Linked DNA regions of Cricetulus griseus. The protein of the gene in region 2 purifies or fractionates together with the protein of the main gene of each other region. This does not show direct contact. Links are inferred from orthologs where the notes say so. Each region holds a gene or a part of one and is shown on either strand. Other genes may lie near its edges. The genes, in order: Cep97 and Cep76.

Region 1 (7,733 bases), on a different chromosome or scaffold from region 2:
TTCCCGGGGCTCCTTTCTAAATAATGACTTTGTTCCATAGGAGAGATACAGAGCCCTTTCTTTACTCTCTCCTAGAACTATAGTCTCCACAATCCTCAGAGCCCAGAGTTGTCAGAAGTAAAGTGGGGATCCCTAAAATGACAAAAATAAAACACTTGTAGAGGACCCGAGTTTGGCTCACAACCTATATTGGTGGCTCACAACCACATTGGATGTCCTCTTCTGGCCTTCACAGACAGACAGACAGACAGACAGACACACACACACACACACACACACACACACACACACACGCACACACACCACACCAAAATAAATAAAATGTATTTTCAAAAGTAAACTGGGCTAGTTGATTATGAAGGGAAGTTTCCTTGATAATATTAGTGGGGGGTTCTTTGTTTTGGTCTTCTTTACTCAGAATTGGAAGTTTGAGGACAATTTTATTAGCATTTGAAAGAAAGAAGGGAAGCAACTATAAACAGTATGCAATGTTCTACTCTTTGGAGTAGAGTGCCAGATCTCCAATCAGGAGCAGAGGTATTCCATTCTTTTTGCCAAAATGAAATGTTTTTCTTCCAAAGGGTCTCAACAAAGCCCTGGCATCTTCGATGTCTCCTAAGACAACTGTAACAACCCCCCCCAATACTAAAATAATTTAAGAGATGAGATGAAATCGGGGAATAGATCCCATCCATTCCCACCATGCAAATCCAGAGGTCCAACTCCAGACTCGTTCACCAGCAGGGATAAATTGAACTGGAGCTTTGGTCATACTGTTAGGTGTAGGATGCTGTCAGGAAGGAATATGCTTATTTAAAGGAAGAGAGAACAAGAAACCAGTCCAGCTACCAGGACTTTCTTCTGACATCTCTACTTTTTTTTTTTTTTTTTTTTTTTTGTGTGTGTGTGTGTGTGTGAGATTTATTTATTTTGAGATAGGGTTTCTCTGTATAGTTTTGGAGCCTGTCATGGGACTCACTTTGTAGTCCAGGCTAGCCTCGAACTCACAGAGATCTGCCTGCCTCTCTCTCAGAGTGCTGGGTTTAAGGATCGGAGTTTAGCCACCTCCCGGCCTGGCTTCTCTACTGTTGATCCAGGACAGGAAACAAAAACATCATGGCTCTGGCCAAGGTCAAGAGAGGAAATGTTACTTTGGGGTGTGTGTTTGCTGGTGTCCTGCCCTAAAATGATGACTTGTTTCTGTTACTGGAAATTTTGGGAAGTCCTGTCAGAGCTGCCACATGATTTTGCTAGAGATTAAAAGAAAATCTGGGGCTGGAGAGATGGCTCAGCAGTTAAGAGCATTGACTGTTCTTCCAGAGGACCCGAGTTCAACTCTCAGCACCCACATGGCAGCTCACAACTGTCTGTAACTCCAAGATCAGACAAAACTGTAGGCAAAACAACAATGCACATAAAAAAATAAATTACTTAAAAAACAAGAAAATCTGTAGGGATAGAGAGATGACTTGGTGATTAAGATTACTTGCTCTTGAAGAGGATTGGGTTTGGGTTCCCAGCACCCACATGGTAGGTAGCTCACAGCTGCCTGAGATGCCAATTCATTTTTGAGCTAGAGTTTCTCTGTCATGTAGCTCTGGCTGCCCTGAAACTCACCAAGTAGATCAAGCTGACCTTCAACTCACAGATTTGCCTGCCCCTGTCGCCCTCCCCCTCGCCTGCCAGTGCTGGGATGAAAGGTTTGGGCTACCATGCCTGGCTTGCTTTGTATTTATACATGTAAAGTAATAAGACTGTTTTCCAAGAAAAGGGTCTCTTGGTTAAAAAGAAGGGGAATCCTTATTCTTTCTTCAGAATTAAATTATCTTTAGACTGAACCAATGGGAAACAGAAAAGTTCTTTAAGGGCAATGATGTCAACGAAAAAGGAATACAGGGAAGAGAAAATGCTTTTAGAATCATGAACCAGAAGTGCTGGAAGCCTGAGTTACTGGATTTTCCTCAACAGAAATGCCCAGACTTTGTACAGTGCCCTTTTGGCAAGCCTGGCAGTCAGTGTGTAGACAAGCTGGTGAAAAAAGGGAGAGCTCCCTTTGAGCTACGGAGCTACCTTTTAAATCCTAGCTTAACTTTCCCAAATATTGTAATTTCCACTACCTATCATACTGAGTTCATAGTTAAATCAAAACAGGATAAGCTTGTGCCCTTCTAACTGGGCAAAGTAAGTATTCTTAACTTTGGAAGCTATTTTAGACTACTTTTGAACACTCAAGAAAAAGTTCTGTGCACTTACGTATCAAATATAGTCCTTAGTCAAAAGCTCTGTTGAATGTGTAACAACTGTTTCTGAAGCTTTAAAACCATTTAGTTAGGTGAAATTTCAAATACAATGTGTCCATTTTGACTGTCTCAAAATATTTAGTCATTCCTATAGCGAATCTCAAATCTTTTAAACTTAACTCAGAATTGCCAAAATGGGTAGCTGTCATAGAGACTTCTAGCAAAGAGCTCTCAAATTGTTTACTTTAAATAACATCCTTATAATGTGCCAGGTGGTAAAAGTGTCAGATTTCTCAAACACCTGGCCCTGGAGTGAAAAGATTCATCTAACAATGCAGCTTGCTCACCTATCAAGGTCTCCTAAGCTCTTTTTTTTTTTTTTCTAAACTACACTCACTTTCTAGCCTGTGATTCCCATCAGGCAGCCGATTGGGCCGACTGAGTGCTGTGCATCCTGGGAGTTGTAGTTTGCAGTTTCCCACCTCTGACTACATAGTCTACAGAACGGCTGAGGACGGTTGCTGGTGTCATTAGCAAGCAGCAACTATGGCGGTAGCGCGAGCCGACGGGGCTCTGGCTCCGGGAGAAGGTAGGACGATTCCCATCCCTGAACTCCAAAGTTTACTTCACTAAATCATATTAAATAGTTGCTTAGTGTAAAGAGGAAGCCTGGGTTTCGAGGTGCAGTTTTGGACCAGTTCTTTTGATACGGGGCTGTAGGCAGCGCGGAGGCGCATTACCTACTGGGAGTTGTAGTCCCGCTCTCAGGTCCGGTTTGGCAGCATGCGGTGAAGGCGGCTGGATGAGGGACTTCAGCCCCCAGGAGCCTTCGCGGTGCCCGGCGCCCCCGTCCCGCGCTCTCCCTAGTCTGACTGGGCAGTGGGCTCCGGACTGCGGCGACCTTTCTGGGACGTTTACTTTGAGTTCCGAGTGCCCACGGGAAATTGGCAGAGTCTCTTTCTTTCCTCTGTCCCCTCCCCCATCGGTTCCGAGAACGTTCAGGAAGCATCTTATCTGATACCACCGCATCACAGTCTGCCTGAACTCTTCCTTGGAAGTGGCCAGTACCCGTGGTAGAATCTGGGGGTGACCGGGACACCCGTTGCTCCCCCGTCATTCTGCAGGCCGGGTCCCGGGGTCGAGTTTGGTCTTTGTTTAGCAGAGCGCAGGCGAGGGGTGCGCCTGTGGCTGGAAGATGCCTCCGTGGGGCGCCGGACCTGAGCTTTTGTTTTGGTTACACTCTGAGGCGTGGTAGCCGCTGGCTGGATTGGGGCAGACAGGGATAGAGTCGGGGCTCATAACCTGGGGACCCTGAATTTTTGAGGGGAGGAGTTCGGCTAAAAGATGTGTCGACCTTTCGGAACTGTGTGCAAACGCTGGGTGCGCTTTTCTGCGACAGCATAGTTTTCATCTTTCAAGAAGCGGCTCACGACATCTCCCGTGCTAAGAAAACTGAAAAAAACTTTGAAACCTTCTAGAAGAGAGTTCCGAAAAATTTATTTCCCAGGGTATCCTAGTCTGATGGTAAATTTGAAATTGGCAGTTACTCTGGCCCCGCCCACTATGGTCGCTGCCTTTCCTAAAACTCTCTAGCCCTCCAAGACAACAGACGAGAGCAGCCTCTAGTATTTACAGAGCAATTTTTTTTTACAGCATTTTTAAAAATTTGAATTAGAAACAAGATTGTTTTACATGTCAATCCCAGTTCCCTCTCCCTCCCCTCCTCCCCTACCACCCCTCCCCCAACTGAAACCCTACCTATCACATATCCTTTCTGCTCCCCAGGGAGGGTGAGGCCTTCCATAGGGTGTCACCAGAGTCTATCATATCCTTTGGGTTAGGGCCCTAGGCCCATCCCCGTGTGTCTTGGCTCAGGGAGTATCCCTCTATGTGGAATGGGCTCCCAAAGTCCATTCTTATGCTAGGGATAAGTACTGATCTACTACAGGAGGTCCCGTAGATTTCTGAGGTCTCCTCACTGAAACCCACTATCCCAGCTATCAGACTGGGGACCAAGAGCTCCCTGATGTTCAGGTCAGCTGTTTCTGTGGGTTTCACAAGCCTGGTCTGGACCCCTGTGCTCATCACAGAGCCACTTTTTAAAAGCCAGATGATATTTTGAGCACTTTTCTTATATTATCTCAAGTTTTCATGTAGAAAATATTTATATTGTATTCTCACATTTTTTTCCCTCAAGACAGGATCTCATTATGTAGTTGTGACTGGCCTAAAACTCACAGAAATCCTCCTGCCTTTGCCTCCCCAGTGCTAAAATTAAAGATGTGTATTACCACAAGTGGCTCAGCCTCATCCCCTGTCCCCTTTTATGTTTGAGACGATTTCTTTGTGTAGTCCCTGACTATCCTGGAACTGGATCTGTAGACTAGACTAGCTTCGAACTCACAGAGATGATTCTGCCTCTTGGAGTGCTGAGATTAAAGCCCTGCGCCACCACTGTATGACTTTTTTCTTTTTTCTTTTTTTTTTTTTTCAAGACAGGATCTCTCTGGCTGTCCTGGAACTCACTATATAGACCAGGTTTCTCTGCTTCCCAAGTGCTGAATTAAAGGCATGCACCACTATGGCTGGTTAATTGTCATCCACAATTCATAGAGTAGGAAAGTTAACTCAGCGATTTGCACCTATAGAGGAAAGACATTGGAGGACACAGTGAGGAGGTAGCCAGCCTCTAGGAGAAAGGGTCTCAGTTACCAAACTTGGCAACACCTTAATTTGGGGAGCTTTCCAACTGAAAAAATGAAGGAGAAAAAGAGAAGGAAACTTGTCCATAGTGGTTAACCACAGCTATAGTTGGAATTCATGCTGCTGTGCTTTATTGAGCATTGCCTGCCAGGTCTGAGGCTGTGTGTGAATTGTTTGGCTTCACACCAACCTTGAGAAATCAGAGAATCATTTTATTCTATAGTTTAGTTAACTATACTTTGATCTTCAAAATATTCAGAAGTGACTGGGGAGATAGTTTAGTTGGTGTAGTCCTTGCTGTGCGAGTGTGTGGACCCAGGTTCAATCCTCCAAACCCAAGGGAACTTTTGGCAGCAAGAGCTTGTAATCTTAGTCCGTGCTGAGAAAAAGATGGATACAGGCAGATCCTTGGGGCTTGCTGGCCAACCAGCCTACCCTATTTGATGAGTTCCAGGCCAGCAAGAGACCCTGCCTCAAAGTGAGGGCCACAGAGATGGCTCAGTGGGTTATAGTACTTGCTATGAAAGCACTAGGGCAGGAGTTGAAATCCCTATTGTCCCTCCAAAAAGCTCCCAATGCGTGCCTGTAATGCCATGGAGGCTTGCTGACTTCCAGTCTAGCTCTAGGCTTCCAGGTTCATTGAGAGAGTGTTCGTGAAGAGAATGAAAAAAGGGACAAAGCAGGACACCCAGCCTTTTTTCTTCAGGCCTCCCTGGGCATGCATGATGTGACCCCACCATACACACTACTTTAGGCACTTGATATACTTGTAGTTAGGCCACAAACAGTTTGATCTCTATAAAAAATCAGTTCTAGGGCCTTGTATGGTGATAGCTATAGTCCCGGTACTTGGGAGATGGAGGAAATATCAGGAGTTCAAATCCAGCGTCAGGCGCATAGTTTATGCTAGCCTGGTCAGCTTCAGACTCTGTCTCAACACAAAATAAAACAACAGCAAAAGAAAAACAATCCAAAAAAAAGAAAAAAATTGAAGGATAACAAAAGGGAAATAATATCCATGGGAAAAAAAAAAAAAGACAAAACTCAAAAAAGAAACTTAAGACCAGCCAGGCAGTGGTGGTGCATGCCTTTGATCCCAGCACTCAGGAGGCAGAGGTAGGCAGATCTCTGTGAGTTCTAAACCAGCCTGGTCTACAGAGCGAGTTCCAGGACAGTTTCCAAAGCTACACAGAGAAACCCTATCTCGAAAGACTAAACAAACAATCAAACATAAAAAGAAACTTAAGCCCAATTTTAAAAATACTATTATTAGATACAAAATAAGGGAACCTCAGGGCCTTGCATGCTAGGTAAGGGCTCTGCCTCTGAGCTAAATTTTGAGGAAAAAAATGTATCATCCCAGCTCTGAGTTGCTATAGTTTTAAACTCTTGCTGCTTACTGTGCTCTGGTGTATATATATATTTTTTTCTCAGCTGTCATTTTTGCTTTCTAATAAGTTGTCTTCTCTTCTCAAGGCTCAGTGGTGAACTGGTCAGGGCAGGGACTACAGAAACTAGGGCCCAACCTGCCCTGTGATGCTGATGTTCACACATTGATTCTGGATAAAAACCAGATTATTAAACTGGAAAATCTAGAGAAATGCAAACAGTTAATACAGGTGGGTATGGGTTATATAAGACTAATTTATTACTAAATGAAACCAAAAAGTTATTCTCCATGCTTTGAGAGTAGTAAATGTTGCCTTAAAGTTTTATATGCTAGTTTTTGAAGATGAATACATGTATTACATTTCCAGTGATCTAGAGAAAGAAGCATCATTAAGTAGTGGGAACAGGGCCAGCAAGGTGGCTCAGTAGGTGGGAGTGCTTGGGCAGAGGCCTGGAGACCCGAGTTTGATCTGTGTGTGCCACAAGCAGAAGGAGAGAACGGACTTCTGAGAGTATGCTGGTGACATTTGCATGTGTACTGTTGCTCAAGTGTGTCTGCAAGTGTGATTCTTGAACACACACACACACACACACACACACACACACACACACACACACACACACACGTGCTCACTCTGTAAATATTTAAATTTTTTTTGTTTTTGTTTTTGTTGTTGTTTTTTTTTCCAGACAGAGTCTTTCTGTGTAGCTTTGGAGCCTGCCCTGTAACTGCGCTATAGACCAGTGCTCTTGTTTATTTTACTTTTTATTTATGTGTATTTGTGTATATCTGTATAATATGTGCCATATATATATGAGTACAATTGGAGGCCAGAAGAGAGGGTATCAGATTTTCCTGAAGCTGGAGTTATATATCCGTGGTTGTGACTACCTTACTTGGGTGCTAGGAACTGAACTCTGATCCTCTGGAAGGACAGCAAGTGCTCTTAAGTGCCAAGCCATCTTTCTACTCCTGTAAATATTTATATTTAAAGAGAACATTATATGTTGATGAAATATTGTGTTAATCTAATCTTTCCTTCATATTGTGGGCAAAGAGCTTATTCATCCAAGAATGTTGGGGTTGGTATTGTAATTTAAGAAAAGCAGCACTGGAGAGAAAGATGCCATGAGACAGGGTTCAAGCCAAGGGGTTTTTTCATAAGGGAAAAGGATCATAAAAAGGGGAAAGGGGAGGAAGAAGAGAGAGAGAAAAGAGAGGGGGGATCAGACAGACAGAGAGAGGGAGAGAGAGAGAGAGCAGGATGGGAGGTAGACAGGGCCCTTTTAAAAGGGAACATAGTGAATAGGCACAAGTGGTGCTATTAGTGGCTGCAGCTGAGGATGTATCCTGTCAGAACCCCAAGGCCAGTACAGATGCCTGAATACTAACACTTGGGA
Region 2 (7,251 bases):
ACAGATGCATGCCACCATGCCCAGCTTTTTTTGTGGGTGCTGGAGAGACAAACTCAGTTCCTTCTACTTGTGTATCATCTTACCCACTGAGCCATCATGCTATCCCCAAGTTTAACTTGTATGAATAAGTTGTAATACCAATACAATTACATTATAAGTTATAGATAAAACATTAGTGGGTTTTTGTTTTCCTCTTTTTATGAGCTAATACATATTACATAGTAGGCAGTATGCAAAATCCAAGGAAATAATGGTAAGATAATGTACAACCTCTGTCCTTTACTATTCATTGCTACTGACACTGACCAAGTTAGCAACTCTTTCAAATTTTACCTATCCATAATAACGAACTAGAGGAACATCTACTCATTCGTCAATAACCACTGGTATGAAGCTGGCACGGTGGTACATGCCAATAATCCTAGCATGAGGCAGGCCAACTGTTCTGTAGAGGGAACTCAAGGACATCCCAAAATACACTGTGAGATTCTGGCCATAACCAACAAAACAAACAAAAAACCCATAACCCACCCCCTCCAAGAACCAGTGTGGTGACGACGGTGATGTGCTGTACTCTAGGACATACCAGAAAGAAGCTTATGCATACACCTATTCATATGTTTAAAAGAATCCTGCTTTTCTTTATAACCTTATATTTAACAACAACAACAACAAAATGTTGAACCTCCAGAATTTCCATTCATTTTGCAGACAAAAAACATTCTTTGGAGCTGGAGAGATGGTTCAGAGTAAAAGCACACTTCCAGAGGTCCTGAGTTCAATTCCCAGCAACCCAATGGTGGCTCACAGCTATCTATAATGAGATCTGATGCCCTCTTCTGGCATGTAGGCATACATGCAGGCAGAACACTGTATACATAATAAATAAATAAATCTTAAAAAAAAAAAAAATTCCTCAGGATAAGAAAGACTGACTTTGAAGAACTATGGTGGCATTATTCTTCCAGCTATTCCCTAAGCCAACTTACCACTGAAATTCTGATGAAAGCCTGTTTTACAAGTCTCCCTCCTGTAAAGCCCTTTTGACTGATATAAAATAAATTTGCCAACAAACAGTATTTATAAAAAGGTGAAAGTGACATTAATCATCATACCTACACCCATAAGTTCCACAGTCAGATTGGTCACTCCATTTTCTGAGCCCAAAACTGATCTCCATTCCAGAAAATAGGATGCCACTAAAGTAGTCTCACCAAATATGTCTATTTTGATCAGCACCATGTGAATTGGATCACTTATGGATAACATTGTTGTTGAATCAGCCATTCTAGTCCCATCACCTAACAACACAAACCGAAGAAAAAACACACTATATTACGTATTACTTAGTAACACAGAATCATTTTACAAGCTGAGGATATAGCTAAGTGGTAGTGACTGCCTAGCATGCCCGAGGCCTTGGATTCCATACCCAGCACCACACGCACATATGTGTACATATAAGAGAACTGGGGTGTATACACACACACACACACACACACACACACACACACACACACACACACACACTTTTATTGAAAAGTATTCTAAATAAGCTTACATATGATGGAAATAATTTAGTAAGGTCTCTCAAAGTATGCCAGAATCTGGGGGAAGAATATCACCCCATTCTATGACTGACAACTGCCAGGACTAGCAGAATAAGATGAATTATTTAGAAGTTACTTAGTTATGTTACTTACAGTAGTCAGTACTTTCTGATCCATAAAAAGTCTAATCTTCAAAAGAACTTATATTATGTACTATTACAAAAGAAAAGGCCATCAGCTAAATGAGTTAGCACACACCTTAAATCCAAGCACTCTGGAAGTAGAGGAGGGAGGGTCTGTGAGTGCAAGGCTAGTCAGAGCTACATAGTGAGACCCACCTCAAAACTCCACATACACACCAAAAAGAGAAACCTAAAAATCCAGGGTGCTAGACAGATGGCTCAGTTGCTAAGAGCACTTGTTCTTGTAGAGGATATGCATTCAATTCCCAGCACCATCATGGCAGCTCACAACCCTCTGTAACTCCAGTTCCAGGGGATCTCATACCCTCTCCAAGCATCTGTGGACACTGCACACTGTGCACAAACACACATACATACATGCAGGAACAATGCCCATACACATAATATTTAAAAAAAACACTATGTAAATATTAATCCTCAAATTACATTCATTCTTCAACTCCAGAAATTACCAAAGTATTTTTGGTTTTTCAATACAGAGTTTCTCTGTGTAGTCCTGGCTGTCCTTGGAACTCAGGGATCTACCTGCCTCTGCCTTCCAAAGGCTGGGATTAATGACATGTACCACCATACTGGCCTCCCACCACGAAGGCCTCCATACAAAAAAAGTTAAAGGTCTACAGGGTGAGTTCTAGAACAGAGAAAAACTGTCCTGAAAAAAAAAAAAATCCCCAAAAACAAAAACCCAAACAAAAAACATTTTTATAGGGAGAAAAATAAAATTACAAAGGACTAGGGTGCAGCTCAGTTTGTAGAGTGCTTGTGTATTATGGACAAGGCCTTGGGTGTGACCTCAGCATCACATAAACCATGTATGTTGGCACACACCTAAAACTCAAGCACTAGTGGGTGTACGCAGAAGAGGCAGAAGAGTCAGAAGCTTAAGGCCACCCTCAGCTATACGCTGAGTTCAAGGACAGTCTGTGCTATTTGAGACCCTAGCTCAATAAAGGAAAAAAATTAAAAACTTTAAGACATCTTTTAAAGGCACTAAATTATTTAGGCAGACTTCTTCGATTCTGCTTGTTTTATGGCTTTAGGTTGGTAAGTAAAATATATCGAATACACTGATACATTATATAAACTTTTTCTTTTTTCCTTACGTTTATTTCACGTGCACTGGTGTTTTTGCCTGCATGTATATCTGTATGAAGGTGTCAGATCCCCTGGAATTGGAGTTACAGACAGTTGTGAGCTATCATGTGGATGCTGGGGATTGATGCTGGTCTTCTGGAAGAGCAGCCGGTGCTCTTAACCGCTGAGCCATCTCCACCGCCCCCCACATTATATAAACTTTGAGGTGTGTGTGTGTGTGTGTGTGTGTGTGTGTGTGTGTGTGTGTGTGTGTGTGTATTTTGTGTTTTGTGTTGTTGAGACATGGCCTCCCTATGTAGCCCAGGCTGGCCTCCAACTTGAAATCCTCCGGCGTTAGCTCATCCCTCCTGCTTAAATCTCCCAAGTGATAGAATTATAAGCATGAACCACCACAACCAGATTCAAACTTGGACTGTTACATTACAAAACCAGGTGTGGTGGCATGTACTTGTAATTCCAGTACTTGAAGGTACAAAAGACTGTATACATGATATATATAAACAATTGACTAAAAAAAAAAGAAAGAAAGAAAACAATTAACATAGCAAAAAATAAGAGAAAATTAGTAAAGCAAGAAGTAGGTAAGGGGGGCTGGAGAGATGGTTCAGAGGTTAAGAGCACTGACTGCTCTTCCAGAGTTCCTGAGTTCAATTCCCAGCAACCACATAGTGGCTCACAACTATCCCTTATGAGATCTGGTGCCCTCTTCTGGTGTGCAGATATACATGGAAGCAGAATGTTATATACATGATAAATAAATAAATAAATCTTTAAAAAAATTAAAATAAAAAAAAGAAGTGGGTAAGAACTCATTTAAATAAAAAATAGCACTGGAGAAGAAAACTAGAGATACTCATTTACTGTAATCAATCTCTCTCTTCCCCGACCCCACAAGTTCTCACTATGGAACTCAAGAGATCTGACTGCCTCTGTTCCCTGAGTGCTGGAATTAGAAGCTGAGCCACTAGGCCGGGTTTATAATCTCTATCGCAGAAGCTGTGGCGGTTGTTCTTCAATAAAAACCAAACAAACTTAATTAGGTATCATTACATATTCTTACCTGAACTTTCTCTGTGAACTTCAAGCAAAAAGCCGTCATGGAAATCTGGTTCACAAGCACATGGAACAGGTTTTGAGCGAAAACGTTGATTCCGATAATGTAAACATAAAGTAAAAGTTGAACAAACTTGTCCTGGTAAAGGCTCAGGTTCTTGCAGATGTTCCAAGAAAGCTTTTCCACCCAAAACCTGAAGGTAAAGATACCTTCGTGTTGGATCAATATTAGCTGCAAAGTGTAGCAACATATGAGGAAACTGCCAAATAACTGATTAAATGTGATCAAGACATTAGAAACGACTTGATAGAAATACTTTGACTAAAATAAACAAATAAATAAATAGATGAATCACCCAATTTACTATGTTGCAGAATCATCTGTGTTATGGCAAGGAGAGAGCTATGATATGATATTCTTTAGTGAATTCACAGTCTCACTATGTTTGAGAGAATCAATGCAAAGGTTAGGTGTAACTTTGATTTTTAGCTGTTTGTAAAGCATATTATCACCTCCACAAGCCAACTCAGATCATTATCAACTTAGTAACTATATTTATCTAATTATTTTACTATATTAAAATAGCAAGCACATACAGTTTTCTTTCTTTGTTTTTAGGACAGGGTCTCTCTGTGTATTCCTGGCTGTTCTGGAACACAATATGTAGACCAGACTGACCTTGAACTCTGCCTCCCAAGTACTGGGATTAAAGGTGTTGTACCACCAGTTTTTATAAAATGTATCTATCATTAAGACATAAGAAAACAATGCTCCCGGGCTGGAGAGATGACTCAGCGGTTAAGAGCACTGACTGTTCTTCCAGAGGTCCTAAGTTCAATTCCCAGCAACCACATGGTGGCTCACAACCGCCTTGAATGAGATCTGGTGCCGCCTGCCTGCATGCAGGCAGAAGACTGTATACATAATAAATAAATAAAAGAAAATAAAAGAAAAAGAAAACAATGCTCCCAATTTTGGCCCAACAGTACTATATAGTATATCATATATTTCACGCAAAACTGCATCTAAGTTTTAGGTTAACTAATGACAAATTTTAAGTACTTCATTTTGAAAAGAATTTCTATCAAATGCCAAACACTATGACATGTCCATTACCAATCACAACCAAGTTTATGTTAAAAATATATATGTATATACATACTTTTTTTTAATGTTGACTGCTTATCAAAAGCAACAATTTGCTTTGGAGAAGGGAGTTCTTGATCAACACTGTCCTAGAAAAGTAGGGAAAAATACAAATTAGAAAATAAAAATTCAGCCTGGGGGTGATGGTGGCCCACACCTTTAATCCCAGCACTCAGTAGGCAGAGGCAGGGGGATCTCTGTGAGTTCGAGACCAGCCTGGTCTACAAGAGGTAGTTCCAGGACAGCCTCCAAAGCCACAGAGAAACCCTGCCTGGGAGGAGGGGGGAAAGAGAAAAATTCTAGGACTTGAGAAATGGCTCAGCCGTTAAGAGCACAGACTGTTCTTCCAGAGGTCCTGAGTTCAATTCCCAACAACCACATGGTGGCTCACAACCACCTTGAATGAGATCTGGTGCCCTCTGCTGGCATGCAGGCAGAAGACCATATACAAAATAAATAAATAAAATCTTAAAAAAAAAAAGGCTTTATTTTCCTAGCCTAATTAAAATGAAAATACATAGCTTCATGAGAGATGGAACTCGTAAAAGTCTAATATGAAGGGATTCAACTGTTTTTAATTCTTGCCATCCACAATTTTTTTTTAAAAAGTTTTTGTTGTTGTTGAGACGAGTTTTTCTATATAGCCCTGGCCGTCCTGGAGGTTGCTATGCAGACCAGACTGGCCTCCAACTCATAGAGATCTGTCTGTCCACCTCCCAAATCCTGAAACTAAAGGTGTGCACCACCAAGCCTGGCCTTAAAAGCAAACCTATACCTTAAACATTGCTAAACTTCCTTTAAACCCTATATAACATTTGGCTTCTGGGCATAGTGGCATGTGCCTTTCTTTACTCCCCAAACTAAAGAGGTAGAGATAGGCAGATCTCTGTGAGTTCAATGCCAGCCTTGTCTACATAGTGGGTTCCAGGACAGTCAGAACTATATAATGAGACCCTATCTCAAAAACAACAACAAAACATTCCACCATGAACTGATTTTTAAAAAGTAACATTCGGCCACCTAGTGGTGGCACATACCTTTAATGCCAGGACTTGAAAGGCAGAAGCAGGAGAATCTCTTGACATCAAAGCCAGCCTAGTCTACATCGAAAGCTCAAGGACAGTCAGAATTACAGAGCAACCCTGTCTTGAAAAACAAAACAAAAACATAAAAAGTAACATGCATGAAGCAGAGGCTGTTAATAGGTCAGTTTTTATAACAACTCTCAAAACCCAAAAGATAAAGCATATTAAAGTACTCAGGTCTCTAGGGTACTAGTCCATCCTATTTTTAATAGAGTATTCCTGTATTGAGGTCACAGTTCTTCATTATCACCTCATTTTCAATATAAGGCCTACTTACTGAGTGTACCAGGCAGGAGACAGCCCACTACTGACCTATTTGTACAGAGATCTGAGGGGTTTACGAAGTCAGTTCTTAAGGAATTTTCTAAGTGTATTTGCTTTTAAAAATAGGCCTAACTAAATGACAACTCTACAGAATAACAGGAGGGGTTTCTGACACTTCAGAGAAAGATGGTGTATATCTCCCATCTCATCAGCACTATCTGCTAACTCATGGTGGGGCCAACTTAAAACCACAGAAAAGGAGCCCGGCCAAGGTGGTGGCACATGCCTTTAAGCCCAGCACTCAGAAGGCAGACAGGTAGGATCAGGATCTCTGAGTTCAAGGCCCGTCTGACCTACAGAGCAAGTCAAAGAAACCCTGCCTGGAAAAAAAAAAAAAAAAAGCAACAACAACAAAATCGACCCAAGGAAAGGATATTATAGGAGCTATAGAGGCGACTCACTGGTTTAGAGCACCTATTACTCTTGCAGAGGACCTGGGTTCAATTCACAACACCATGATGGTGGTTCACTCCATTTACAAGGGATCAAAACCCTTCCAAACCAAGGGAACCAGCATGCAAGTGGTACACAAACTCTCATGCAGGCAAAACACAACCGTACACATAAAACAAGTCTGGTCTACAGAGCCAGGACACAGAGAAACCCTGTCTCGAAAAACAAAAAAACAAAACCCTAAGAAAAATGGCTATCACTAGACAGACTGAACTTACAGTGGATTTACAAAAGAGGATCCCTAAGTATGGACCCTATAAATTTAGACATAAGCAAATATTCACACTTTCAATTTGTTTACCTAGAAAATTACTCACAGTCACAAAATTAAGTTCTTTCAT

The links.
Region 1: the proteins of Cep76 (region 2) and Cep97 purify together in Homo sapiens (co-immunoprecipitation; 4 studies listed by BioGRID and IntAct, with this or other methods). This does not show direct contact. The link is inferred for Cricetulus griseus from reciprocal best matches to the Homo sapiens genes CEP76 and CEP97.

The regions. Positions count from the first base shown.
Region 1 is NC_048597.1:36,121,678-36,129,410, forward strand, and holds the start of Cep97 (centrosomal protein of 97 kDa), read left to right. Parts: upstream 1-2,675; 5' UTR 2,676-2,786; coding exon 2,787-2,829; intron 2,830-2,886; exon of another isoform or gene 2,887-3,764; intron 3,765-6,419; coding exon 6,420-6,562; intron 6,563-7,733. UniProt on the Homo sapiens protein: Acts as a key negative regulator of ciliogenesis in collaboration with CCP110 by capping the mother centriole thereby preventing cilia formation. Required for recruitment of CCP110 to the centrosome.
Region 2 is NC_048595.1:171,769,084-171,776,334, reverse strand, and holds part of Cep76 (centrosomal protein of 76 kDa), read right to left. Parts: coding exon 7,228-7,251; intron 5,138-7,227; coding exon 5,065-5,137; intron 4,134-5,064; coding exon 3,909-4,133; intron 1,302-3,908; coding exon 1,116-1,301; intron 1-1,115. UniProt on the Homo sapiens protein: Centrosomal protein involved in regulation of centriole duplication. Required to limit centriole duplication to once per cell cycle by preventing centriole reduplication.